Astyanax mexicanus: one gene and its partners. The protein of the gene in region 4 purifies or fractionates together with the protein of the main gene of each other region. This does not show direct contact. Links are inferred from orthologs where the notes say so. Each region holds a gene or a part of one and is shown on either strand. Other genes may lie near its edges.

Region 1 (7,295 bases), on a different chromosome or scaffold from region 4:
TTGAGGATGAGGTGGGGCAGTGATCATCAAACTTTCTGACCTCACCAATGCTCTTGTGCATAAATGCAATCAAATTTTTACAGTACATAAAGTTACAGGTGTCCCAATACTTTTTTTCCACAAAAATGATAACCTTACTATTAACAGATCATTCACTGATCTCAGACACATTATATTTTATTCATATTTTTTATTATTTTTGTTAACAAACATATGTCCATTACAATATTTACAAATTATTGTTTTCATCAAGATAGTCTGCACAGAGATACTGTTCCAACTGTTTAATACTTCAATTAAGTATCAAGTCTTCTGTCCCCAGAGACAACAGGGTTCCACTCTCTACTGTCATTTTACAGTACCAAGCAACTGGACATCTGCTTTGTTGTATAGCAGAGTAGAGTTGTTAGCATTCGTTTCTGGCAGTGGTGTGGAAATTCACACTCAATTCACGATGATCGTAAAAATGTCCATCATTTTGCCTGGTTGCGAATCGTTGATTAATCTTTTCTTCTATTCCGTATTTGAATATTGGTCTCAGGTTACAAGGCTGAACAAAACAGTTAACTGCAGCTAACTGTTTCCTTGACTGTAACAGCAGGTGTAGGTCCAATATGGGTCCATATGTAGCCTTTCTCTGGGCGAATGGGTATTGTTGGAAAAGGACAACTCCTTGACTTAAAGTATTCTGATGGAGCATGGCAGACAAATTCAAGATACTCCATTTTCCTTGGTAAGTCCTCTTCTGGACCTGAGAAGGTAAATACTTGCTTAGTCATGTTTAAAATGCTACAAAAAGAATCAATTGCTAAAATGAGAATACAACATTAACTTACCAACAATGTAAGAGCCTGGATCAAACTGATCTCTTGGACTAGACTGAGTGGGGATTAGCCAGGTTAGTGCGGCACTCTTTTCACAGTACTGGTCCTGAACAAACCCACGAATCTGTGCAAAATACGGTTTACCGTCCTCTTCATCTGTTACCTTTATTACATCTCCTATTTGATAATAAACACCCTGGAGAAAAGGGAAGAAAGTGAATTGGGGAAAAACTGTCGCTTCTGAAATTCCATTTAAAAGTCGATTAGAAAGTCAAACCTTGTAGAAGATTGACTCTGACGTAATAATTGTGGATACAGACTCTGGAGCTTTGATAGGCTGAGGGAGGGAAAAAAAATATATTACTCACTCTGCTTTACTTAAGCATAATATATGAAGTTCATGGATAGAACTTACATTCTTTAGTTTAAAAATGTGCCGCCTTCCTTTTCCCTTAGTTGAGACTTTCTTCTCAGATGCAGGTGCCTTGTACTTAGTACTTCTCAGTCGTGCTGATCTTCTGTGGATCTCTTGCTTAGACTAGAAGGAAACAGAATCAACATGTTAGTGCTGTTATAAAGTACAAATTCTCTGATTATATGCATTTGAGATGTTCAGAAAGTGATTTAAATGTTATTTACCTATAAATGTAATTCTGTACTATTTTTTCACACATTACTCGGGTAAATCTTTTGAAAAAACATCGACTGAGCAAATGGAGAAGTTTAAATGGTTGATACACAGAGGGGAGTATCCACATAAAAATGTTGATGCACAAAATTACATTCCACTATACAATTTTTTTACTTTTAATTGTTTGTGTGCAGTTTGAAACTCTTATATTTAAACTGAATAAAACATATGTTTTGCTGCAGTACAAATTCTTAAAACGTATTTTTAAAAATATTACATATTTATAATATTTTGTCATATTGTCTCAAAAATACAGTGAAATATTGTGATATTATTTTGGGGGCCATAACAATATACTAGTGCATCTCAAAAAAAAAGCATTTTAAGCATTTGTTTCTTTTATTGTTGATGATTATGGCTTACGTGAAAGTCTTGCTTGATTGTAGAAACTTTACACTAGACCTCAAGCAGCTTGGACTGTATCTCTCCACTCTTCCTCCAGACTCTGGTCCCTTAATTTCTAAATTAAATGCAAAATTTACTGCTGATCAATGATGGTTTGGAGAGCCGTGTCATCTGCTGGAGTTGGTGCACTGTTCGTCCACTGGTGTTATATCCAGTCCAAAGTCAGTGCAGTGTTTTCACAGAAAATCTTACAGCACTTCATGCTTCCCTCTGGTGACAACTTTTATGGAGAGGCGGTTTTCATTTTTCAGCAGGACTTGGCACACTGCCAAGTCTTATATAATATTATACATAAAGAGACACTGATTTTTGAGTTTTCACTGGTTGTAAGCCATAAACATCAACAATGAAATAAATAACTGCTTAAAGTAGAACACTGTGTGAGTAATACATCTATATAACATAAGTTTTTAACTGAATTACTAAAGTAAAGTAACTTTTAAATGATATTCTTACTATTTTGAATCGAATGATTTACATGCATTTGCAAGAGCCAATTGACAGTGTAGATTTTTGGAACAAGTAACTTACGCTTATTGGCTCAGGCTGCTTTTAGAAGCACTTTAGAAATCTGTAGCCATTTGCGAGAAATACTGCTGCTAGCTAACCTAGGTTAGAAACATAGAAATCAATAAAAACAGAAGTGTAATGAAACCTGTTTTCCTCCGCCATTATTCTGCTGAGTGGTGGAAGAGACGGAGAGCCCGGGTCCTCCAGCAACACTGCTTTTAGAAGTGCAGTTATTACACAGGATTTCTCCCTGGTTTCCTTTTTTCCACATAGAAGAGGAGTTGGTTTTGCAGACCGCGCAGCTCGGCTTCACTCCCAGCGGCATCTTCCCTCTGTACCCGCCTAGCTAACGTTAACCTACTGCTCTCAGGTCTCACCGCCGCACAGTACGTATTAAAGATAGATATAGCTAGTTAACGCTAGCTGTTTGCTCCTCAGCGCAATTAAACGCTGCTAAATAATACACAAAACACTCCCAGTCTGTAGACTTTATTCCTAAATTAATAGAAAATGTCTAAACCCTGCAAATAATAATTTTAGTAACAATGAACTGCAACAACAAACCCTGTCCTCCATTATCTACAGAATAAAAGCCCCCCTTGTCCTCAAACTGAGCTACCTCTTCCGGCCGAGTTCAACGGCGTCTTCAAAATAAAAGCCCCTTTACTAACTCAATGCAGACCTGGGCATTAGATTATCTGCCCCTTTGCGTTTCTATTTTTTAAAGAATTTATTTAGAAAAAAAAAGTTTAGATTTTTTTTACAATTACAAAAAACACAACAACATTACCTACAAAATATTATAACAGTAACAATTTTACATTTTTAAAATTCACAAAGTCCAATCTTTTGGCTTTGTTTTTTTGTCCTAAGTCCCTCTTCTCTTCCGTTCTCTCATACTTTGATTAAAAACAATATTACTTGATTCAAAAGTTTGATCTATTGTCATTCTAGTCTGTTCTAGTTTTCCATAACTGATATTTTTCTATACATATGATTAACCAAAATTATTTTTTCTTCTTGTTTTCAACAATCCGTATATCCAGCCCTTTACAAATCCACCTCAGAAACTGAACGGAAAATATAGCAAGAATATTTTGAATTTATTGTTGTTCTTTTACTAAAACACTTTTAGTGTTTCACTTTCATAATTAAATAATTATATAATATACTTTTTTTTACTATGCCTTTACATTTTTATCGCCTAAGTGTAAGATCTTATTAGTAATGTGTTATGAAAACCATATAATTACTGGATTTTTAAAAAGAGATAAAATGAACATTGAGCAAAATAGAGATCAATCAGTAGGCCCAGCCCTACAAAATAGTCCCTTGGTTACAAAAGTGGCCCCTTGGTTAAATTAATTGCCCACCCCTAGTCTATTGTAACAAAAAGTAAACACAATTTAAAATTCCTGTCGGTGTCATAGTGGTAAATATGCAAAATCCAGGCTAACCATCATTAGCTTAAAGGGAAACTAAACCCCCTGATTTTTGCTGACTCCACCCTCCGCTCAAATTTAAAAAAGGCTAAAACATGGGAATGACAGTTTGGGAGGGGCACTGGGTGATGTATGGGTTTTAGGGGTGGGGCAAGAAGAGAGAGCTGATTGGGCTGAGCAGTGTGCTTCTGATAGTGGTGAGACCCAGATGGTTGAATGTCAGCAGGGGGGGGCGGTATTTTTGATTGCGTACCAAAGTACACGTACACATCATCCTCGTACATATCAACTCCCGAGCTTTCAGTCATCTAATAAATGCAAACTTTAAAAAAATTTAAGCACTTTTCCCTATCCTGTTAAAGTGTTTCAAGCCATCACCAAGCCTTAAGTCAATAATTGTGCAATCAAAGCACTAGTGCCAAGTTTTGAAACACTATTTGATTCATTTTTATTATTTTCTATTAATAAAGGTTGATATGCTAGAAAACTGAAGGTCAGGTCAAGTTAATAGGTAAATTGTAATTAAATAGTGATGCTTGTGGTTTATAGGCCCACACTGAACCTGAGATTAGCCTTATGGTATCTTACTTCTCAACACCCATGGTTTTATACCTAAAAGAGACTTTTAAATGGTGAAGTGAGCACCACACCACATCAGGAAAAGTTTGCTTCCTGTCTTCCAAACAAACATTTTGTTTTTACTTTGAAAAAATTGTACTTTGTAGTTAATAATGTCCATGTGGTGGTCTGTTCAGAACAATCAAATCACATGGACTACTTCCATGTACAGGAACAGCTTGAATGAGGTCTGAATCATGAAAATGAAGGAAAACACTCATAACTCTTCCAGGCAAAATGTCTGTAATCTATTACAATTAATTCAACCCAGGGCACTGAAATTAATCACAGTAAAACACAACGTAATTTTTAAATGACAATTTAGTCAGACACACATTGCAACTCTGGTTTTCAATCCTCTCACTCCCCATTTCAGAGTATACATTCCAACTAACACAGGACTCAATCCAGTGTAAAAGAAATCTAAGCAATGATTTAACACATGGTTGGCCCATGGAAATACAAAATGTTCCCGCAAAATGCTTTGATTGTAAAAGTGAGTAACAAAAAATGCAGTCTCTTTTAATCACTTTTTTCATTAAGTGAATGAAATCTTCACTATAAGAGGTTAACTTAAATGTGGCAACACACAGACAATATAGGGGAAGGGCATAAAAGGCACACTGAATGATAGAACTGAATGAGCGTGTTTAGAGGAAAAGCAAACTTCAGTCTCCAAATCCCTACACCCAACCTTTCTTCTTGAGCTTTAGTGACCCCTGGTGACACGATTGGAAAAGGCTCCAGCTGTGCACCAGATATTACAGACTTTCTAGAATAATCCAATGCTTAATAATGTCAAGCAGTCAACCATTTCAACCAGGGGATGATGAGTTTGGGTATATACCCAGCTCATAGCAAAAGTAGGCACAATGTCATCACCGGGATGCCCTGAAGCACTGGTCAAGAAGTGGCTTCAAGTCATTTGAAGCAAACCTGTCTCTTTTAACAAAGTGCAACAGGTTTGTGTGCAAGTGCATGAAGCAAGCAAGCGAGACTGATGGTGGGGTCATGGGTCAGCCTGTGGACTGAGATCACTGCAGTACTTGATAAAGCAAACTGCATTTTTTAATTTTTAAAACTTCTTTTTAAATCTTTCAGTGTGCATTAGCACATTTTTCTCTTTTTGAAAAAGAAATAAATAAAAGAGTAGTATAACTCACTTTCTATTCACACAGGTAAATGGGTTTGTTTTTGTAACCTCATCTTTGTGGTTCCTCTACAGGTTAAACAAGAACCCAGAAAGAACCACATTTTTCATCATACGATTTAGAGCTTCTTAGCACTCTCCTTTTCACACACAAATATCATATTTCTGTTACACTATAAATCCACATGTTTGTGGACACCCCTTTTACTGAATGCATTTAGCTACTAGCTGACACAGATGTACAACTGCACACACACAGCTTGTCTAGTCCTCAATAGTAAAGTATTGCCAATAGGACCAATGAACATGAACCTACTGGCACTATGCCTAATTCCAGATGTGCCTGAAATAATCATACTCCATCCAATACTTTTGGAATAAGTTGTGGATAATGCAGAAAGCAATCAAATCCTCACAGCAATCTACAAACTCTAGTAGAAAGCAGGGTATATTATTTTCATTTACCCATGATTTCATAAGAAACAAAGGTGTCCCAAAACATTTGTACATATAGTGTATACACTTCTTTTTCCCCTGTGGTAGGGGTGGCAAACTAATGTCATGTCCAACGTGAACTCGGAATGATTTTAATCGAAACCTGACACTGCATTTTTTTCGTACTTTTTTTTTCCGTTTAGTACTGATGGTTATACGTGATTATTAATTATTATAGAGCATTAGGTCATTTTGTGAAATAGTGGCTGACTGACAAAATCAGCTCTACTTGCTGCCTCTTTTAGAGCTTTAGTATTATAACAGGTCCCAATAAAGCAGTTCATGAACAGTGATCAAACCCTGCAGGTCCAACAGTGCTCTAACTGTGCTAGCTAACATTTCTGAAGAACATCAGGTCCTATCTTAGTGAAGTGTCAGTAAAATTGAGATTCTGGTTGGTTTTGCTGTGAACTTGCTCTGTCCCTGTTTATGTCTATAGATCAGTGTCAATGTGTGATTTATGAAGACTGTTTTTAGCTGATCTAATGAATTACAATGAGATAATGTGATTTAATTTTTTTTCAGTATTGTTCCGGTTTAGAACTGTGTGCTGTATGTTTGCCACCCCTAGTTTAAAGGAATACTCCAGTGTTTTCAATCACCATCACATAATCACTTGTAGTGTATGGCCAATGACCATTAACTATGGACATATTAACCTATGGCTATAGGGAGCCCTCCTGTCAGTTTTTAGCTAACAGTTGAATCCAGTAAAGTGCAGCTGCTGAAAGAAATAGTAAAATATATTAATAATTGTGATCTGAAACAGCGTAAAATACATAAGTCACAGTTTAGTTTGAATTACTCACCCTTTTCACTTATTGTCCAAATACCAAAAGTGCAATATTCAGCTGAATATTGTTGACAAATATTTTTGGTTGCCAAATATTCTGTGCATCTTTAGAAGATACTGAACCTAATGTTATTCCTACTATTTGCATGTATTTTGAGGGGTTTTGGTGTAAACGGTACTTCAGAAGAGTAGAATGCATGGCAATGTCTGCAATTTATACATGATTTTAAACAAATTTCTGTGCAGCTGCAATCCAAGAAGTTGTAGTAGAAATTCTGAATATGGATCTCGATCAACAAGTATGTACATAAAAAATATGGGGTTTCTGTATCGGCCCACAAATCTCTCATCGATGCAATGCTAAAAA
Region 2 (7,327 bases), on a different chromosome or scaffold from region 4:
TGTAAGTATATATTGTATGTAATGTTAACACATTGAATACTGTTGCACATATTAAAACGTGTTGCCTAAAGAATAGGACAAAATAACACCTAAATCACTTCATCATGTGTATGGGCCACAAGTGTAGATGATACAAAACTCTTTTTCTCTGCAGTGAAATAAGTTAATTACATTCTGAATACTTTGAGGGCTTTAGAGACTCTCCTACAGGACACTTGGAAAAGCTGCCACTCCCCACTCCACTTAATCATTTCAGATCAGTAAGAAGAATCATACACAAATTCTGCATGTTTGAATTTAGACATAAAAACTAGACAACTGTAAAGAAATAAAAGGTTTGATAGACATGAAATGTTTGATCTGTATTCACTAAAATGTTGATTTTAAAATAAAGTAATGACAAGGAAATCTATTTTTTATTTTTACATTTTCTATATTGTCCAAACCTTTGCTAGTTTTATTTTTAATGTCAGAGTGGGGTTTTGCCAGTAGAATTATTCTTTTAATGTTTAAATAAGGCATACCTTAAACATATAAAAATGTGTAGATTAGTTATTTTCATAGGGGTATTAAAAGGTGTTTTGTCAGGCATATCTTATTTTTCTGCATTATACTTAATAAAATATAGTGAAAATAGTGCTTAAAGTTATACATGTTGTTGGTGTGTTATTGAGAGAGAAATGTTAGTGCTGTAAATACAGAATAAAAGTATTTTTGCTGTTATGGTATCTCCATGTTGGCAGTAGCTTTTGTAACAGCACCAATAGCAGAACAATGTTTGCTCAGGTAACCAGCAAAAGCTATTATGGCCAGAAAAAGGTCAAATACACTGTTTTTACAATTTATGTGTGTGCCTTTTTAGGAATGGTAGCAAGGGGCACATTAAGGCCATTTACTATAAAATGTTGCCCTCTCTTACAGACTGCAGGTATATATATATATATATATATATATATATATATATATATATATATATATATATATATATATATATATATATATATATATATATATATTATGGCAAGCTATGGCAAGCCAAACAGGAAATATATAATAAAAGCTGATATATATATATAATGAAAGCCGATATATATATAATGAAAGCGATATATATATAATGAAAGCGATATATATATAATGAAAGCGATATATATATAATGAAAGTGATATATATATAATGAAAGTGATATATATATATATATATATATATATATATATATATATATATATATATATATATATATATATATATATATATATATATATATATATATATATATAATGAACTCTGATATATATCTGATATATATATAATAAAAGCTGATATGCCTGAGAGACTGAAGGTGGCGTTGTTGTTTCAGCCGGCCGCAGCTCCTCGCGCAGGGGAGGCCGACCACCGGCAGGCAGCGCGGCGCATTCTCTCCACAGAGGAGCGGCGCGACCGGCCTCGGACTGGCTTTAAAGTGTCAGGGGGCGAAGGTGGCAAAAAAGCTCCGGCCCGCGAGCTGCTTTCACCGAGCCGGGGACGGTCTACCAGTGTTCATTATATACATATCAGCTTTCATTATATATATATCAGCTTTCATTATATATATATATATATATATATATATATATATATATATATATCAGCTTTCATTATATATATATCAGCCTTTATTATATATATATATCAGAGTTCATTATATATATATATCGCTTTCATTATATATATATCACTTTCTATATATATATATCAGAGTTCATTATATATATATATATATATCAGAGTTTATTATATATATATATATCAGAGTTTATTATATATATCAGCGTTCATTATATATATATATATATATATATATATATATCAGAGTTTATTATATATATATATATATATATATATATATATATATATATATATATATATATATATATATCAGAGTTCAATATATATATATATCAGCTTTCATTATATATATATATATATCAGAGTTCATTATATATATATATATATATATATATATATATATATATATATATATATATATATATATATATATATATATATATCAGTGTTATCCTTACTTCCTTTTCCTGATGATTTAATTTCCTGTTCCTATTTTTCCCCCCAAGCTAGCTGCTGTTGTTAAAAAAACTTATGGAGTTAATATGGAAATATTTAAAATGAGATTTAACTAATTAAAAAATAATTAATAATTAGTTTCTCAAATCCCTATATTTTCCCTATATATATATACGGAAAAAATAATTAATAATTAGTTTCCCAAATCCCTATATTTCCCTATATATGTATACGGAAAAAATAATTAATAATTAGTTTCCCAAATCCCTATATTTCCATATATGTATATATATGGAAATATAGGGATTTGGGAAACTAATTATTAATTATTTTTTAATTAATTAAATCTCATTTTAAATATTTATTTAACATTTTAAGCAATTATTTCTTTATTCATTTATTTATATGATATTGTTACAAATAACACTCCATAAGTTTTTTAACAACAGCAGCTAGCTTGGGGGAAAAACAGGAACAGGAAATTAAATAATCAGGAAAAGGAAGTAAGGATAACACTGATATATATATAATGAACTCTGATATATATATATGATGAAAGCTAATATATATATAATGAACGCTGATATATATATATAATAAACTCTGATATATATATATATATATATATATATATATATATATATATATATATATATATATATATATATATATATAATGAAAGTAATATATATAATGAAAGTGATATATATATATATATATATATATATATATATATATATATATATATATATATAATGAAAGCTGATATATATATATAATGAACACTGGTAGACCGTCCCCGGCTCGGTGAAAGCAGCTCGCGGGCCGGAGCTTTTTTGCCACCTTCGCCCCCTGACACTTTAAAGCCAGTCCGAGGCCGGTCGCGCCGCTCCTCTGTGGAGAGAATGCGCCGCGATGCCTGCCGGTGGTCGGATTCCCCTGCGCGAGGAGCTGCGGCCGGCTGAAACAACAACGCCACCTTCAGTCTCTCAGGCTGACTGTGCGGACCACCCGTTTACCTCTTAAAGGGTTTTAACAGCTTTCATTATATATATATATATATATATATATATATATATATATATATATATATATATATATATATATATATATATATATATATATATATCAGCTTTTATTATATATATATATATATATATATATATATATATATATATATATATATATATATATCGCTTTTATTATTTATATATCAGCTTTCATTATATATATATATATATATATATATATATATATATATATATATATATATATATATCAGAGTTCATTATATATATATCGGCTTTTATTATATATATATATCGCTTTCATTATATATATATCGGCCTTCTATATATATATATCGGCTTTCATTACATACATATCACTTTCATTATATATATATCGACTTTCATTATATATATATCAGCTTTTATTATATATTTCCTGTTTGGCTTGCCATAAAATATATATATATATATATATATATATATATATATATATATATATATATATATATATATATATATATATATATATATAATCTTCTCATTTAATATTTTTCTTTATTTATTTACAATTAAGGGACAAATTAATTACATAGAAAAGGAGGAGTCAACAAAGATGTTCTTTAAACTTGTTTGACTTTACTTTTTAATTTGGGAGAAATGTTAGTAGTTCACAGGATAAAACATGTTCATTTAAAATTTTACTTAAATATATACCTATAAAAATGAGAAACTGATCATTTTGAAGTGGTCTTTACATGTTTTTTTTTTTTGTTTATTAGCCTAAAGTTAGGTCATGATTTGTGTGTGTTAATTATGGGAGATTATTGGTAAATTGTTAGGGTTGTAAATACTGAATAAATGTGTGTAATGTTCGCCTGTGGCCCTTAAATCCGCTGTAAAGCAGAAATGCAGTGTGTTTGTTGTGTTTTGGGGGCCTATAGCTAACTATAATCCTGCGTCTCGCGCAGGCCGCTTGCGTTTCGTAACGTTCTCGTGAGCGCGCGTCCTCGTGCTCGTGCCTGTGTGTGAGCGCGAGAAGCTGCGCGCGCACCCGCACCCGCCGCGTGCACGCGCTCTGCTGCTTGCTGCTCGCTCTCCGTGTCTCGCGCTGCCTGCCGGGATTGCGTTCATGTCCGCCATGTTCTCTGTGGCTCCGAGAGCGGAGCGCCCGAGTAGGAGTAGCGCGGCGCCGCGCAGCCACTAAACCCCGCTGCAGGAATGGCCCCGGCCGCCGGCCTTCGAACGCGAGGGAGTCAATGATCGGCACGGCGACGGCAGAAGGAGTCGGCGGAGCGAGAATCCGGCGGGCGCGGCCCGTTTCCCCCCCCGCGTTTCCTCGGCGTCGTGTTGTTTGCGTGAAATCACACCGTCATGAGTAAACTCTCGTTCCGAGCGCGGGCGCTAGACGCCGCCAAACCGCTTCCAATTTACCGCAATGGAGACATCCCGGACCTCAACGACTGCGTGTCCATCAACCGCGCGGTCCCGCAGATGCCGACGGGCATGGAGAAGGAGGAGGAATCGGTAGGTTATCGCTTTAAATCGCCTTTATTCCACTTCATACACGGGTATATTCGGGTGTGTGGCGATACATGGCTCTTAGTGGTATTCACAAACGGTCATTACGCTAACTGCGTAAGCGACGGTTAACATGAGCTATCTAGGCAGTTAGCTATATACTACGCTGTATGCGTAGTGTAGAGAGAAGATGGCGAGGGCGGCGTTGTGTGTGGTGTTTTTTTTTGTGTGATGTTGCTGGTGGTTTACGCAAACGAGCTCTGCGCAAACTGCGTACGCAGTCGTGCGTACGTAGTCCTGCGTACGTACATACGCCTGTGTTACGCCTTTGTATGCCTTTGTCTAGTGCTTTAGCGTGAGCCGAGTCGTGAATTGCGTAGCTAGCTGCGTCACGTCGTAGAGTGTCGGTCCGTTACCATCTGCGCGTTTTGAAAAGCGGAGCCTGTGTTGCGTCGAGTTGCGCTACCTGTCGATTTGTGCTTCCTATACATTTTGCGCATGCGCACACAATACCAGTTTTTAACAAATTTTAGCTACAGAACTTCATAGTAATTCCTCAATAGTTTTACTCGGCTAAGTTTCACAATTTCAGTTTGCTTGTACTCGTTTTTTAAGATATGTTTGTATTTTGTTTTACCTTAGTTGTCTATAACGTTAGCTAACCTAACCTAGCTAGCCACCCTGATAACCTAAGCTACAATGGTTTAGGCTGTATAACGTAAATATATAGTTTAGCTAGTAAAGCTATGAACGTTGCGCATTTTAATAGACTTCGTATTGCTTTATGCGCGCGCACACAGTAATGTGTTCCCAGAGTGGCTTACCTGATGTTTAAGTGCAAGTAAATTTGAATAATATCCGTTAAAGTAATAATATTACCACAAGGACAACAATAATAAGCATTATTTAAAAAAGTTTAGACACTTGTTAAACGTTTAGAAAATTTACAATGAAGAAAAATGTGAAATAGCAGCTAATATAACCTAGTGTTATTATTAGCAGTTAAAATGAAATAGAGCTTTACCTAGATGTATAAATAAGCAGGGAGGCAAGGAGCAGCGCTTTAGATGTTTGGGTGAAAGTAAACAGCCCTACTTTTGCTTGAATTATTCTCAGAATTATACTTGGCTGTTTTATTTAAGCAGCTTTAACTACTTAGGTAGTAACTACATTATACACCATGGTAGCACGTTTTGACAAGGTATCGCAAATCGACAAAGCACCGCTTCAAAGCCTGGCTAGGCTAGATTAAGCTAACGTGTACACAACAGTTAGCCTAGCTTAGCTAGCTAAGTTAAATCTGCAGTATTTTAGGTGATGATTGAACTGCGTGGTGCTCTGTCACCATTAAGCATTCATTATATTACACCTATTTAAGCATACAAACATGTATTTAGCTATTTTGGTTAGCGTTAGCTTGGATTGTTAGCTAGCTAGGTTGCTAACTATTGTAGCTTAGCTAGCTTAGCTAAAAAAGGAAAGACTCGGATCCTTATTAGCTAATGCTTACGAGAAAACCTACGCTATTTGGTTGTTTGCGTGTGTGTAAAAAGGTTGTAGGATCATTTTAATACAACACTGCTCTATAGCTTATTAAACTGATGGTGGTGCTAGCTAAGCTAAAGTAGATAGATGGCTAATATATATCTAGCCAGTTAGGTTAACTAGCTAGCTAGCAATTGAGATTATGGCGCGTTGGGAAATTCAAGCTTTATTTTAGCATGAATTCACTGTTTTTCACCTACATCTGTAGGTTAAATCTAACATCCTGCTCTTTCCTGTAATTATTTATTCGAATGGTTTATTATATAGGTTATATTGTTCTTTGGATATTAAAACCTTAATGAGACGTTTGTAAATGATTTATTCAGTGATTTATGAAGCTTGGTTTTGTGGTGTGACCTTTATTAACGTCTAAAAGTTTTATATTATGTGGAGATTACTAATAATAGCTGTATACTGGTGTGTCATGATAAGAATAGTTTGATATATCATTCCAGAAATTATTGTGAAACAATATTATCCTTTTTATACCGTTAAATGCCACTGACATTATGGTAATATTATAACATAATAAAGCAACTGTACCCTTTTTATAAAGACAACACAATTAGAAATTAATCATACTTTGGTACATATACTTTTTTCACCTACTGCAGACCACACTGTGTGTATGGGTAGAGTTTTTAAAGCACTGGTCATTTGCATGACTGGCTACAATACTGTTTACTGTTATTTATGTGAGCAAATAAACACAATAGACAGTATCATTACTGTCATTAGGTCATGTTCATTTATTGTATGACAGGGCAATAAAGTAATTGTTGTGACAGGCCTAAACTTAGGTCTGTGGTGTGACCTTTATTAATACAAAATTGTGTCTGTTACTTATCATGTTTGTTGCTATACTGGAAAATAAAGAGTCTTAGATAGTAGGGTGTTCGATATCGTATTGTGCGTCACAATAATATTGCCAAAAATTCTACACAATAAAGAAATTGCATTATTTTTTATATTTGGTATGTACTGTATTTGGCTCATATTACTTATTGGCTAATATTTGGTGATATGGCCAAAATTTATATTACAATATAGGTATTAACTTTGCTTACTACATTATAGTTCCATCATCGATATGAAGAGTATAAAAGCCCCCACCCTTAGTGTACGTAATCACGCACTGATAGAGCTGGGCAATATGGCAAAATATTATATGACAGTAATTAAAGATAAA
Region 3 (7,684 bases), on a different chromosome or scaffold from region 4:
TCTTTTAAATAATAATGAGATGGTCAGCAATCTGTTTGAGACTAGGCTCTCCTCACATTGGTCTTTATCTGCTTAAGGAATGGATAGGAGAGGAGGCACAGACACTGGTGTAGACTGTGGGAACTCCTCCTTTCTTGGCAGCAAATAACCTCTCCATGGGTCAGAGGTCAGGGGTTGCTCAGAGGTTTCCAGACAGATTCTCCCTTATCAGCTGCTGAGTGGTCAGTCAGTAAAAGAAGCTCTCCTCTAACATGCAGACCAGCCACAGGGTTCCTAGCAAGTGTGCACGTTCAGTGACCCATTATAATTGAGGTTCCTTCAGGATGAATTGTTCTTCATTTACTGAAGCACCAAAACCACTGACAGGTGAACAATCAGATCATTGTTTAACACTTTGCAATTTCCCTTTCAACTTCCTTGCTTGTCAATAAGAAACGGTGGTAAATGAGTGATAAATAAACCAGTTAAACCACTGTGTAAACACACTAGGCGTGAAATTATGAGCCTTGTAGCACTTCACCGCAGTTACTTGGGGATTGCAGAAGTAAGTTTAAAACATAGTGAGTATAGAAGCATCTAACCTAACTCTGAAGTGTGGCTAACACACTTACTTTCTCACTTTCTTTCTTTCTTTCTCTCTCTCTCTCTCACACACACACACTACAAAACAAGGCATCTGTCCCCAGAGAACTTTTAGTACGGCTCATATTCTCTGTTGTTAACTCAAGAGAGCTGCCTGTCTGAATTCCAGCACAGGCTGCTTGTAACAAATGACTAATAAAAATCTTGGATCTCGAATGCAGACTTCCAGAATGAAAACACAGCAAGCTGGGCATTTTGGCTACACGTTTTTCTCCCGCTGCAGTTCTAATGAGACTGGCTACATCATGACTTCCATCGTTAGTTTTGGCAAGAGCCTGGGAAGTCGTAAAAGCACTACCAACACACAAACATGTGGATCCTAAGATGCTAAAACTGTGATTTGAATGGAGACTCATTGAAATCTCGCATTAGACACACACTGACACTGCTATTTCACTCACAGCCGTGTGGACCACCAATGTAACTGTATGGCAGAAGATAACTGGGTAGCTAAGCTAAAGAAAAACAACTCACCGTGATTTTAGCGCTTTCTAAACCAGCGATCACATCGTTCAGATCCACTCAAAATCCACTCTGCGTGCGTACCAACATGGTTCCCTTGGGAAAGTGATGTTGAAACTGTTGAAGTCCCGAGAAGGAAAAAGGAAAAAAAGGTCAAAAATGTGGAAGAAAACAAACACAGGCAGCCAAGTAGGATACAGACAGACGTCTTCACAAATCTTGCAAACGTCTCCAACTACCTAACGCAGCTTATTCCTCTTCATTTATCATCCTTGCTGAACTAGATAACAGCTCGCCTCGATCACCAACATCCAGGATCATCGGAACAGCGTGATCCAGCCTGAGAGAGCTTTAGAGGGACATGAACCCTAGCTAGGTTAACTGGATGCTCACGGTCAGGGTGTCTGCATATGTGGAGAATTAGCTAACCTAAATTTCAGACGTTTAATACCACGTTAATAATAATTGAGGACCACTTTCGCAATAAAAACAAAAATGAAACTATTCTGAGAAAGGGACCCAGCCTAATAGTGGGGTTATCTAACCGGTTTTTGAATTGAATGTACAATTCCCTACAACCCCCGCTTAGCTACAGTAACGTTCACCTACCCAACTACCGTTTTAATTCAGCCTGCAGTTAGGTTAGGTAGGTTAAATCTGTAAACAATCTTACATGTAAAATTCGGGAAATAACAGAACTGTAACCTAGGTTATTTAATGTCAGACATTTTAAGACCGTTGGGGGATATATATATAAGACATTTTAAAACAAACGAGATTGTATTAAACCTTCTATGACCATCCAAAACATATATTCAACGTTAGTTAACGCTAGATGTTAACGTCAACTGCCACCAACGAAATGACGGCAAGTGAAAGGTAACGTTAGCTAGCTAACGCTAGATATCAGCACCAAACATAGCTAGCTAGGTTAGTTGATCAAATGCTTCGTTTGATTAGCTAAACATTTGTGTTGTTGTGGACACAGCTAACCCAAAGCCATTCATTATACGAGTAGACAACGTTTTCGTTGTTTCTATGTTTTGCAAGGAGGACGAATAACATTAGCTTATCCCGCGTTAGCAGCTTATTACTTTACTGTAACGTTACCATAGCTAGATTATATCTGTTATAACTCTCTAATCTAGCTGCGTTAAGGGTTCAGGCTTCGCTCTGTGATGGTAGGTTAGGGTGGCTGTCCAGCAACGTGGCTGTAAAAGCAGTGAATGCGATAAAGCACATGTTCCACAACATCACGACCAATTATAAAAATAGCAGAATAAACTCAAAGTGGAGCCTATTAAGCAGAAACACTGATTAGAAACTGGGCTGAGGTGTCTGTCCTGTCAGTGGCACATTACTGACTGGCACGGAGAGCTCGCTAGCTAGCGTTAGCTAGCGGGCTATATCTGCGAGCGTTCCGCACGTAGCGTTACTCTACATTGCTAACAGCTAGCTCACGTTAAACGAGGCGCCCGCTGTGGTGCAACTCGGTTAGCTCAGCTAACGCTAGCTAACCTAGGTTACCCGAAGTGTTCCTGCGCACCCGGGACAAAAACAAAACAGAGCAATAACAACACCCCGGCGTCTCCCGGAGCACAAACACAATAAAGCGCAGTGACAAGAGAGGGAGCTGTTTGGAAAAAGCTCCGCACAGGTTATTAAAAAACACCAACTGTCAACAAAATGGCGGCTGCGTTGAATCAACAGAAACCCGAAATGGATCTCTTGCTCTCTCCTTTTCTCTCTCGCTTTCTGCGCCCTCTCCCTCCTGCTCGTCCCGACGGTAGTTTACCCGTGAAAGTTTCCAAAATGTCGCCGTATTCCTTCTGCGGGGACCGCGCTAGTCGAGCTCAGGGCTGTCCGAGCGGGCCTGTGGCGTTAATCGGGCCTCCATGTCTGCTGAGCCCGTATCGTTTCTGTCAGTACAACACGGGCATTCTCCCAGTCAGCGGCGGGAGGGGAGGGAGGCAGACACAGGGAGGAGGGGTAGGGAGTGAGTGAGTGAATGAGGGAGGGATGGTGGATGGAGGGAGGGCGCAATAGCCTATGTATACAGCTATTGGTGTTTCCACTTTCTCCTCGTTTTCCCTTCAGTTGTATAGCTAAAGAACGGACTCTACAAACAAAATGTCCGACTGTTTGTGTTTATTTCGCTGCACAAAGTACAACAGAGGCGCGATGGCCGCCCTGTCCGAGGACGACTGTGGAAGGGGTCGTGTTTTCGTGCGCCCCGTGCCACCGTTGACACTCAGTCAGTGAAAAACAGTCAGTGTAGACTCCCCTGGGAGTCAGTAGCGGAGAACCGGTCTAATAAACAGCCCAATAAGTGCGCGTGTGCGCACAGGCTCGAGGTCGTTGGGGCACAACCGTGAAGGTTTGTGTCAAAGCGCTGTTTTCAGTTGGTGTGTGTTTTTCACGCTCGCGCAGCCCGGAGTTCTCCTATTGGCCGCCGCAGACTGGAGGCGGGGCTGAGCGGAGGGCGGCTGAACACGTTGATCTACGTGGATACGCTGCTGGTTGGACTGCGGGTTTGTTTGGGGTTTGGTGGATGAGCTTCGTGTTTAAAGCCTGCATGTAAAACAGGGGTGTCACTTAACGGCGAGTTTGAAACAGAGATGATTCATTCGTTAATTCATTAATTCACCTTTAAAGGTGTATAATTCGACATTTTAACATAAATATAGCAGCAAACAACTGCTGTCAATGTAAAGATGTGGAGCTCTGTAAATGTGTTCTGAGCAGAGAATGCACCCTCTCTATGTTTGTGTGTGTTGTCAGTTTATGGTGTTCCTAGCCTTAGAAGGTTGCAGTGGGGTAGCCGTGATGCTAACAGCTGGCTTTAGCAAGATTAGGACAATTCTAACAAACATTGCTCTTAAGGCACTTTGACATTGCATGTGGTAGCCGCACCACTGTACGCTGACCTCCATTGGGTTTAATTGTTTCTCCAGGCTAGGAAGGTTTGGAGTGTGCTATGCCCGACATTAGCAACTGGCCTCAGCAAGCTTGGAGCCGTGATGCTAACAGACATAGCAGCTGGGCTCGGCAAGTTTCAAGCGGGTTAGCTGCTATGCCAGCAGCCAACCTTGACATGGTTGGAGCTGTGATGCTAAATTTGCGGTCATGTTGGCAGGCGATAAGTTGTTCACGTTGCCCCACATTTGTTTCTTGTGGGTGTGTTGTGGGTATTGGCCCTGTCATGAGTGGGCATGTAGTGGCATGGCCGGTAATCATGCTTACAAGCTACCTATCAAGCTATCCACTACTTTTTCCAAGCTTTACTTTTATCCAAACTGCCACTATATTTGTAAAAAAGGCATCATATAGAACAAGAAAGGAATAGTCAGCGGCTATAATGCTTTCTTTTGTGTTCAGAAGCACACCACTAAGGAAAAAAGTATGGTAGGAATCAAAGGTTCACAAAGCAGAGGGTGGGGATCTCAGAACCCTGTATCTGTGATTAGTCGGAAGAATTTGTTTGGCCATTTGTTTGTTTGGTGTACTGTGTCGTTTGACAGCATCATACTTTTTGCATAAAGTCAACTATATTTGCTGCACTGTCGCTTGCCTCTAGTTGCAGAATCGCAGCTACAAATTGCACCCCTTCCCCTTAGAAAATGAATGGTTGCTTGTCACTCTGTTGCTATCAGAAGATTGTGGAAATTGTGGCCATGAAGTGATGCACATGTTTAAACAGGCCTAAAGTGTGCTAAGAAAACATTGACCATGACCGCCACACCATGACCTTATCCAGCAGCCTGGACTGTTGACATAATAAAATGCCTTCTGGTGCCTTAACATTGAAATCCACACTGAATTAGTTATTATTGTATGTTTTTTACAACCCAAAATTGGGACAATATGGTACATATAAATAATATGCTTGTACTATTGCTCTTTACCCCATTACTACCCTTTGGGATGTATTAAAAGTCTGTATGCAATTAATTCGAATCCTGTTCATGTAGCTTGCCATCAGCTGCCAAAGACCTGAGGGAGCACGATTGGCCTTGCTCTCTCTGGGTGGGTAGATGGTGCTCTCTCCCCACATCACTCTAAAAAGGGTGATGTCGCTCAGCCCCAGGGGTCTTTGAGCTGATGTATCGGAAATGAATTGCTGCGCTTTCCATCTAAGTGCACTGGCTACTTGGCAACTCTGGATCAGCAGCAAGTTTCCCTTTTTGGCTGGAAAGTACCATATTTAGCCCTTTTTCCCGCCGTCCTCCTGTATTAGTATTTTCCCGTAAATTTCCAGTATTATACATATTATAATAAAAAATAAAAAAACATACTGTGCCTCTCCAAACTGAAATGTCACTAACCTCGTGAGAACTGTCACCCAGGCTGCTGCAAGTGGCAGTTCTCACGAGGTTAGTGCAGACAGGTGGAACAACCCTGGAACGACAATTCAGAGAGATGGATGGATGCAAGGAGAGAGTGGGTATTCCTAAAAACACCATACTATGATGATACATACTCATACATACTATGTACATACATATATATACATACTATGTATAATATCATACATACTCCTTCTGACTGCAGACAATACCATTGACCAAAAAAAAAAAAAAAAATATATATATATATATATATATATATATATATATATATATATATATATACACACACTGAACCTCGGTTGGACTAGTGGGACATCTAGAAGCGGGCGGTGGAACATTTCCCTTCTTTTTACAACAAAATCTTGACAGGTATGATCAGCAGCAGTTCGAAAAGAGGCACTGGCTGACTTCATATGTACCGAAGGAGGCATGTGCTAGTCTTCACCCTCCTGGTGTTGGGGCATCACTAGTGATCGAGGGAGTCCTGATGAGTGGGCTAGGTAATTGGCCTTGTAAATTGGGGAAAAAATGGGATAAAAATAATACTAAAATTATAATATAATTATAAATTATAAGAAAAAAATAGATTCATTTAAAAAAATAGATACATTTAAAAGGAATGCAATTGTGTAAAAAGGTAATGATTGAATGCACTAATCGGACAGCTCCAAAATTATTATTTTATTATAATTATCATTAGTATTTTTATATTATATACTTACCGAAAAAAAAAAAAAATATATATATATATATATATTTTTTTTTTTTTACAGGATTTTTCTTTATCATGTAAAATTCTAATTTTTAATATATATATATATATATATATTTTTTTTTTTTTGTTCTGACAGGATTGATATATGTAGTAATGATATATGTTTTCATGTTATGAGGATGTAATGACATAACAGTCAGGGTGTGCAGTAAAGCTTCAGACAGCAGCTTACTTTAGGAGTCAAGGATATTTTGGGCTGCACCCTGTGATGACTGGAATGTAAAGCGTCCCAGCATTTTGTAACCTATGGCAGTCAGCTGTCAAAGATAATTCATCAATAGTTTATGACAGGGGTGTCTAACTGCAGTGACTGGAGCTGTTGGTAATCTCAAAGTGCATAGCAGAACAAAACTCAACAGAACAAACTGGCCTGTAACATTCTATACACTACATTAATTTATGTTTAAAGAGGGAATATTATTCATTTTTATGTATTGTTTTTTATTGTTTTCAGATTTCTGCATGTAAGGTCTGTGATTTAATAGGATCTATAGTCTGGTGGTGTCCTGCAGGCTCACCAGTGGAACTAAAATAGCACCATTATATATATATGTTACAACAAAAACAAAAAATCAACTACTGTATGTCAAAGTAAATACTATTTACTATAGCACCTTTAGACACTAAGATATAAACCATGAAACAGGCTGGTAATGAGAACAGTAAGGACCTCATCCTGCCACAGATGGTACATGATGCAGCTGTGACTCATATCCTAGCTATGAAGTGTATCTCTGTAAATATAATTGTAAGCATGCTGACATCAGCCCACTTGCAGAAACTTTAAGCTTAAAGGAATAGCTCACCAAAACCTATTTTTACAGTTTCTCCCTTTTTCTAGATGCAAGCAATCAGCTTAGATATATTTTTTTGTAAGTTCATTGTATTACAAAAGGTGCTAATAGATTTTGTTTTCGTAGAACAATAGCTGCCACAAAAGAACCACAAAAAAGAATGGTTTAAAGAACCTGCAGTTAATGTTTTTTTTAGCATATTTAAAAGATCTATACACTCAAATATCTCTATAAATGCTAAAAAGGGCATGAAAAAGGCCAGTCATTATAATGTGCCGTGATTTGTAACTCCAAATGATGTAATTAGATGACTCAAGTATATGATATCAAAACTTGTAATATCACTGAAATGGACACATTTCGGCAATCTGAAGTAGGCTAAAGTGTCCCTATGACCTTATAAAAAAAAAAAGAACATTATGATAAATCTTCACAGTAGTAGAGAGTCAATTCTTCTTCAAAGAGTGCAGTCACAAATCACCCAGCAAGTCACGGAATATCCCAGACGAACATAACAGGCACTGCAGGCCTTACTCAAGTTAAATAAGGTCAACATTTACGAGACTAAGTAAAAAGGATGGTGCAGGTGAATTGCAAGGTGAAATCCACTACTAACCAAGACCAAAATAAAAAGTTTGTTTTAGGAACTACCAAAAATACAG
Region 4 (8,106 bases):
ACCATTGTTAGAAATCTAACAAAGAGAGTCTAAATAATCTAAATAAAAGAAGTGAAATCAATGTTTATACTTTGTTTAAAACTATATGTAAGTGTAGGAGGTATGACAAAAAAAAAAGAGTGTCTTAATGTGAACTGAATGTTTAACATTAATACAAATACGTTTTCTGCCGTTCTTAGCTGGCGCCATAAGAAACTTACTGATTTGCCTTCTGAAGCTCTTTCTGTTTCTGCAGATTACTGTCCACATATTTGAGCACACGGCTTTCAGGAACCCATTCGTCCCAGCTTTAAAAAACAGGACAAATTTATAAAGCACTTTATACTTATTAAATAAAATGCATTATTATTTTATTAATAAATAAACAATATTTTAACAATCAATCTGCTAATACTGCAGCAGAATCTCTTATTGACATCAAAACAAACACGAGAATACTTACTTCTTATTCCATCCACTATAATGAATGAAGTATTTCACTTGTTTGTCCTTAATATTGATTTTTACACACTGTAAAAGAGAGGATCAATAAGGTAAATCTTTTCCACACAAACTTCAAGCACATGGCTAAACAGGCTAAACAGATTTACTGACATGATCAACACTTGGGGTGCAGCACCCGGAAATATCGGTGCTGTAGAGATATTCAGGACAGGGTCTGTGTTGGTGCTCAGCTTAGTTTGGTTTGATCCCACCTGAAATCTGTTATTGCCCGGCCCACACCACAGGATAATCTGACCAATTTTCTCTGATCTTTTGATCTTTTCCCAGAAAAGTTGGGGCTGTGCCAATCGTGAGGCATAAGTGGCAAACATTTTTTGTATTTATGACTCAATAACCTTTAGAGTGAGGATGATGATGATGATTGTCTGGTGGGAAACGTGAAGACTGTCAACCAAGAGAGCTGAGATTATAGACTACATAGGTTGGACTTAAATTGTGTTAACCTACTGTTTTAAGCAGGAAGCACTGACAAATTGTTTTGCTGTTATCCACTTCTGTGTGGTGCTTTTATTCGGGGTGGATCATGTAGTGTGAGAAGGTTTACAACTAACATTGATTAAAGACAAAAGACTGGTGAAAGATTGTGTGAAGATCCTATAGTCTAGTCTGGGCCAGGCATTACATTTACAATTAGCAGCTTAATTAAATGTGTTTGAGCAAGAAAAACAACAAACTGTGCTGTAGACCAGCCCACAAACACTGTTTAATTCTGCTACGACAGTAAATGGTGTATTTGGTCACATACAATTTGTTGCATTCAATCTATCTATTCAGATTTTCCGAAGAAAAATAATATAAAGAAAAAGTTACCTTAGCTTCGTATAGCAATGGCCCATGAAAACACAGCACTCGTTCACCTGAAATAAAGGCACAAAAAAGCAAGACAACATTAGGCCAGGTCATGCCACCCTTACTGCATTTTCTTTTAACAACTTTTTTTTTGCAGCCTTTAACAGGTTTTTCTTCAGGATTGTTGTGTGTTCTGCCACATATAGCATTTTGCATTTAATCCAAAAAGTTCAACGTTGGTCTCAGCTGAACAGAGCACATTTGCTCTCACAATTCCACATTTGCTTGCTGTGTCTTCTATGGGACTTCTTTTGGTTTCCTCAAAAAAATTGCTTTTTTCTGCCTACTTTTCCATAAGGGAGCTGTGAAATCTCTGCAGCTCCTCCAGAGTGACCATGGGGCTCTTATCTCTAATTAGCGCTCTTCTTGCCAGGACAGCCATGTCTTGGTAGGTTTGCAACTGTGCCACATTACTTCCATTTTTGGATGATGGATTTAACAGTGGGCTATCTAATCTTTCTTAAACTACCATGTGTCACTAGTGTTCTCTAACAAACATATGAGGCCTTCACAAAATAGCTGTAGCTTAAGTAAACTGAGAATACATTTCCCAAATAACAAACCTAATAGCTAGCTAATTAGGTTGGACTTCCAGTTTGTACCATTTCTTCATTATACAATTAATTGAAAGGATTTGCCATTTTTTATTTATCATAACCCATATACTCAGCTCTACCGCTTGTCCCACAAACGCATGTTCGTAACAAACGTCGCAACACATTTGGAAATGAACAGGCTTTTATTGCCAAGACTGCTATTGTGCTATTTTTAGCTTATAACTAACTACCATGTTGTTAAACATCTTCAAAACAAATAAAGGAATTTACTAACATATGGAGAAACTTATTTTATAACTAAGAATCTCTAACACATATTTGAAACATTAAGTCCATAAGCATGTACATTGCAAGGACTGTAATGAATTTTGTGTAATAGCATTTCCATGTGAAAACATCTTATCTTCATACTTGGAGTAAAAATATTATGCTATTCTATAATAAATTACAGATTTATCATCTAAGAATTCATTAATGTCAGTATTCCACACATTTTCAAGCTTGGTTTGTGATGTTTTAGGAAGCTTGGAAAGCCTTGTAAAAACAAAATAGCTTACATGATATTTTGCTAATGTAATTAGCTTTAAAGCGACATAATATTATGTTAAGGCAAGCTAAGCTATTCTATTAGAGTTTAGTTGGTGGCTGAAGCAGCAGCAGCAGCAGCAGTAGTAGTAGTAGTGGATCAGGGGGAGAGCTGATTGGCTAACGCTAGCTATAGGTCATATTCACACAGAGAGACAACCCGCCTTATTTCCCAGAGGCTTTCATCTAAACCCGAAACACCGCAGATACCAGACAGACCCGCGGCCCTGCTGATAACCCTGTCCGCTCCCCGGACCCCAGTCCTCTGATCCCTGAGAGCCGCGGTTCTCTCCGGGTCTGTGTTTGTGTTTCAGCTCCTCTCAGCGCCATTGTGCGACTCTCTCCATTAGCACAAACAAAAGCACAGCCCCCCGCAGCAGCAGCAGCGCCCCGCACGGCGCGCCCCGCAGCGCTCTTACCTTCTTGAAATTTAGGTTTAGGGTCCTGTTTAGGCGCCATTCACAGATTAAACAATAAAAATATCTGGAAAATCAAATCCAGGCATCGCCAGCTCCGGGTTCATTCAGACACGGTGAAGGCGCCGCACTACGGCTCTCTGTTGACGCGTTATTTTGGCGCCCTGGACATGTGACCTAACAGGAACAAGGATCTGCACCGATTCAGAGCGTGTTCCGGGTTCATCTCACCGCCAGAGGGCGCTCCCCACTCAGCCCAATGGTTTGCTGGTCATATATGCTTCTTATTTTTATTTCTTGTTTACAGTATATATAAACATAAAATTCAAGTAAAGTTTAATACAAACCATAAATATAAACCCCAATGTTGAATCAATGTAATAGGACAATACAGTCCAACAGCCTAAAATAGACACAATAATAGGTCAAATACACATCCTGTACAATCAGCATCACAAGTACATCAAAACAAAAACACAAATAAACAAACAAAGCAAAAAAGAAAAGAAAAGAAAAGTGGGATTCAAATAAAATATCGATGGATTTATGATTTTTTTTTTAATTAGTCGAAAATTAGTCAGTGAGTGTATATAATTATTTAGATATGAATAAACAAAAGTTTGGAATAATGGTATCATTTTAGCAAATTAAAAAGTACCTTAAATGGTCAGCTCAACAAAGGATAAACAGTCGTTTTATTTTGACTTTTATTATATGTTCTCAATAATAAAATAAAATAACTGCTATATTAAACCTTGCTACTCGGTTAATGCTATTTTGTGTATTTTTATATATATAAGTGAGGAGTTTTTTGTAAAGGAGCCACATTTAGTCCATTAAACACTTTTTTTCTTGTGTATTGTCTTGCTCTTTTTTAAGACTTGAAGAGGAGGTTGGGTAAGGAAATTCCTCTTAAATTCCAGTATATATTGTATTTTTTTGATGACCCTTCATCTGACTACAAGTATAGTAAATTTAATTATAAGTTTAGGTACATTTTTATACACAAACGAATATTCGCTAAAAAGATACCCTTATTCCAAACATTAGTTTATTCGGGTTTTTTATGTATTGTTTAAAAAAAAAAAAATGCATAAGATATATTTTCTCTAAAAATATAAAAACAGTTAAGAAAGAGAGTATATTGACTTTGTTCAATGCATTCTTATACATTTTTATACTGAAAATGGTCCTTTAAAATGTTCAAATGTTCTGGGCATTTTAAAATCTGCTCTAACTGTATTTCCATATTTCCAGCACCAGCTCATCAACCAGTCTGCACTCAGTAGCAGTAATGCTAATTATTCAGGTCTTTACTGTCTGAAACTACTTGATAATATTAAAGCGATGTCCTGGACAAGTGATTAGTTACTATTTTTCATTTATTTGAGTTTTTAGCTAATTGGCTTCATTGACTCCCTCTAGCGGTGTGCAGTTATTTTGTAAAGTATAACGGAGGACAAGAGCTTTCCATAAACCGATGTTACACCGTTTTCTGTGACCGTCGGGTTTTGTGACCACAGAGGGCGCTACTTCGCAGTTGTAACACCGGCACTGACTTTAAACGCTTGCTGTAAGTACACGCATGCGCCTGTAGATGGACTGGACTGGATGGATTTAACACTGAGAAAGGGACATATAACCAAAAGAGAAGTGCAGGAAAATTTAGAGTGTAAGGAAAATAGACTAAAATGAGAAAAAACATACCAAGTCTAGAGACTTTTTGGTTAACTTATATTATTTTTTCCAGATTAATCAAGCATTTTAACAAAGAACACAGCTTTTTTATATTTATTTTTCATGATAATTCTGTTTCCCTTGCGCATTAAAATACCTGAGATCACTGCCTTTATTGGCTTGAATGTCACAAAACTGTAAATGGCAATTAATAATAACAATAAAAAAATAATTAATGAACAAAAAACTTTTTTTATGTCTTTACTCTAATTAAACTACGAGGCTGAAGACGAGGCTGAAGTTGGTTTGATATTCGCAGCTCCAGATTCGTTTGGCTCGATATTCGCAGCTTCGTATTCCCCGGCTGAAGTTGATTTGATATTCGCAGCTGCCGCTTCACTGAACCACCGTGAACTAAAGGGAGCGTTCACAAACACCCGCTGTTTATATTAAACACCTCACAGATCAACACTGAAGGAGATGAAGAAATGAAGAAAAGCAGTACATCTGTTTATTAACAACGGAAATATACAATATATTATTAAATATAATTTTGTATATTGTAAAATATTTATTTTAATTACTGAATTTATAATTATATATTACAATAAATAATTAAATATATATTTAATAAAATTATATTTTAAAAGCCATTGCGCTCAAAAAATATGAGGCAGATGTTCAAGTGTGATTTTGAAGAACTTTTTCATGTTGGGCCAGAACAAATACACATGATCTGAAGAGTACTAGTCTTCTACTTTAAGAAAAACCTGGAATTAGACTGGCCCAAGCTGATTTTATACTTTAAAATGAACTGGCAAACTTTGAAAGACTTTTTCATCTTGGGCCAGAACACATACACATCAGATGAAGAGAACTACTTTCCCACTTTGAGGAAAACCTGGAATTAGCCTGGCCCGAGCTGATTTTATACTTTAAAATGAACTGGCAACATAGCATACCAATCCATAATGCACAATTTTTTATGTAAAGCTGATGTTCCAGTGTGATTTTGAAGGACTTTTTCATCTTGGGCCAGACCAAATACACATGATCTGAAGAGTACTAGTCTTCTTCTTTAAGGAAAACCTGGAATTAGCCTGGCCCGAGCTGATTTTATACTTTAAAATGAACTGGCAACATGGTATAACGAGCCATAATGCACAATTTTTTTTATGTAAAGCTGATGTTCTAGTGTGATTTTGAAAGACTTTTTCATCTTGGGCCAGACCAAAAATACACATGATCTGAAGAGTACTAGTCTTCTTCTTTAAGGAAAACCTGGAATTAGCCTGGCCCGAGCTGATTTTATACTTTAAAATGAACTGGCAACATGGAATACCGATCCATAATGCACAATTTTTTTTATGTAAAGCTGATGTTCTAGTGTGATTTTGAAGGACTTTTTCATCTTGGGCCAGACCAAATACACATGATCTGAAGAGTACTAGTCTTCTACTTTAAGGAAAACCTGGAATTAGCCTGGCCCAAGCTGATTTTATACTTTAAAATGAACTGGCAACATGGTATAACGAGCCATAATGCACAATTTTTTTATATGTAAAGCTGATGTTCTAGTGTGATTTTGAAAGACTTTGTCATCTTGGGCCAGACCAAATACACATGATCTGAAGAGTACTAGTCTTCTTCTTTAAGGAAAACCTGGAATTAGCCTGGCCCAAGCTGATTTTATACTTTAAAATGAACTGGCAACATGGTATAACGAGCCATAATGCACAATTTGTTTTATGTAAAGCTGATGTTCTAGTGTGATTTTGAAAGACTTTTTCATCTTGGGCCAGACCAAATACACATGATCTGAAGAGTACTAGTCTTCTACTTTAAGGAACACCTGGAATTAGCCTGGCCCAAGCTGATTTTATACTTTAAAATGAACTGGCAACATGGTATAACGAGCCATAATGCACATTTTTTTTTATGTAAAGCTGATGTTCTAGTGTGATTTTGAAAGACTTTTTCATCTTGGCCCAACATGAAAAAGTCCTTCAAAATCACACTAGAACATCAGCTTTACATAAAAAAAACTGTGCATTATGGATCGGTATGCTATGTTGCCAGTTCATTTTAAAGTATAAAATCAGCTCGGGCCAGGCTAATTGCAGGTTTTCCTTAAAGTAGAAGACTAGTACTCTTCAGATTATGTGTATTTGTTCTGACCCAAGATTAAAAAGTCCATCAAAATCACACTAGAACATCAGCTTTATATTCAATTTTTTTGTGCATTATGGATCGTTATTCCATGTTGCCAGTTCATTTTAAAGTATAAAATCAGCTCGGGCCAGGCTAATTCCAGGTTTTCGTTAAAGTAGAAGACTAGTACTCTTCAGATCATGTGTATTTGGTCTGGCCCAAGATGAAAAAGTCTTTCAAAATCACACTGGAACATCAGCTTTACATAAAAAATTGTGCTTTATGGATCGGTATTCCATGTTGGCAGTTCATTTTAAAGTATAAAATCAGCTTGGGCCAGGCTAATTCCAGGTTTTTCTTACAGTAGAAGACTAGTACTCTTCAGATCATGTGTATTTGTTCTGGCCCAACATGAAAAAGTTCTTCAAAATCACACTTGAACATCTGCCTCATATTTTTTGAGCGCAATGGCTTTTAAAATATAATTTTATTAAATATATATTTTTATTACTTATTATAATATATAATTATAAATTCAGTAATTAAAATAAATATTTTACAATATACAATTGGCTCCGGACAGGATAATGCCAGGTTTTCTTGAAAGTAGGAGGCTAAATCTCTATTTCAGATATTTTTTACTCAGGAAATGAATGAATTACACTAGAAAAGCAAATTCATGTTGTAAGTAAAACTGGAGAAAATAAGTGATGAAAGGTCGTGTATATAAAATTATATTTAATAATATATTGTATATTTCCATTGTTAATAAACAGATGTACTGCTTTTCTTCATTCTATCTCCTTCAGTGTTGATCTGTGAGGTGTTTAATATAAACAGCGGGTGTTTGTGAACGCTCCCTTTAGTTCACGGTGGTTCAGTGAAGCGGCAGCTGCGAATATCAAACCAACTTCAGCCGGGGAATACGAGGCTGCGAATATCGAGCCAAACGAATCTGGAGCTGCGAATATCAAACCAACTTCAGCCTCGTAATTAAACTTTATCCTAACACAGTGATATAGTATATCCAAAAGCCCACCTACACTTATGCTAGGAGCATGTTCTAATATGCTGCGTTTTAAATATTTTTATTATAAATCATACGGTGCCTGAACACTGGAGACATATCTGCTATAAAAATCGTCATATATTATCTCCCCTCGCTTGCTCTACCATTTAAAATCCACATCATTTAAATTATGCTAAGAATCAGCAGATTTAACGCTTTCAAATCTCTTTCATAGTGATAAACATCATAGCTTAACATAATTTTACTTACGATTTTTAGTGCAGGATCTCCACTTGTAACTGAATATATATCTACTGTATGGTATAAGCACTTTCACTTATTTGAAGATGGTGAACAA

The links.
Region 1: the proteins of morf4l1 (region 4) and gatad1 purify together in Homo sapiens (affinity purification with mass spectrometry; 7 studies listed by BioGRID and IntAct, counting the BioPlex papers as one, with this or other methods). This does not show direct contact. The link is inferred for Astyanax mexicanus from reciprocal best matches to the Homo sapiens genes MORF4L1 and GATAD1.
Region 2: the proteins of morf4l1 (region 4) and epc2 purify together in Homo sapiens (affinity purification with mass spectrometry; 5 studies listed by BioGRID and IntAct, counting the BioPlex papers as one, with this or other methods). This does not show direct contact. The link is inferred for Astyanax mexicanus from reciprocal best matches to the Homo sapiens genes MORF4L1 and EPC2.
Region 3: the proteins of morf4l1 (region 4) and ash1l purify together in Homo sapiens (affinity purification with mass spectrometry; 4 studies listed by BioGRID and IntAct, counting the BioPlex papers as one, with this or other methods). This does not show direct contact. The link is inferred for Astyanax mexicanus from reciprocal best matches to the Homo sapiens genes MORF4L1 and ASH1L.

Annotation. Positions count from the first base shown.
Region 1 is NC_064410.1:50,880,409-50,887,703, reverse strand, and holds the start of gatad1 (GATA zinc finger domain-containing protein 1), read right to left. Parts: upstream 3,034-7,295; 5' UTR 2,756-3,033; coding exon 2,576-2,755; intron 1,363-2,575; coding exon 1,240-1,362; intron 1,162-1,239; coding exon 1,102-1,161; intron 1,021-1,101; coding exon 837-1,020; intron 752-836; coding exon 564-751; 3' UTR 1-563. UniProt on the Homo sapiens protein: Component of some chromatin complex recruited to chromatin sites methylated 'Lys-4' of histone H3 (H3K4me), with a preference for trimethylated form (H3K4me3).
Region 2 is NC_064418.1:14,790,822-14,798,148, forward strand, and holds the start of epc2 (enhancer of polycomb homolog 2), read left to right. Parts: upstream 1-4,173; 5' UTR 4,174-4,446; coding exon 4,447-4,599; intron 4,600-7,327. UniProt on the Homo sapiens protein: May play a role in transcription or DNA repair.
Region 3 is NC_064410.1:28,539,065-28,546,748, reverse strand, and holds the start of ash1l (histone-lysine N-methyltransferase ASH1L), read right to left. Parts: upstream 3,067-7,684; 5' UTR 2,900-3,066; intron 1,222-2,899; exon of another isoform or gene 1,117-1,221; intron 1-1,116. UniProt on the Homo sapiens protein: Histone methyltransferase specifically trimethylating 'Lys-36' of histone H3 forming H3K36me3. Also monomethylates 'Lys-9' of histone H3 (H3K9me1) in vitro. The physiological significance of the H3K9me1 activity is unclear.
Region 4 is NC_064416.1:24,296,798-24,304,903, reverse strand, and holds the start of morf4l1 (mortality factor 4-like protein 1), read right to left. Parts: upstream 3,100-8,106; 5' UTR 2,955-3,099; coding exon 2,915-2,954; intron 1,362-2,914; coding exon 1,315-1,361; intron 511-1,314; coding exon 443-510; intron 288-442; coding exon 201-287; intron 1-200. UniProt on the Homo sapiens protein: Component of the NuA4 histone acetyltransferase (HAT) complex which is involved in transcriptional activation of select genes principally by acetylation of nucleosomal histones H4 and H2A.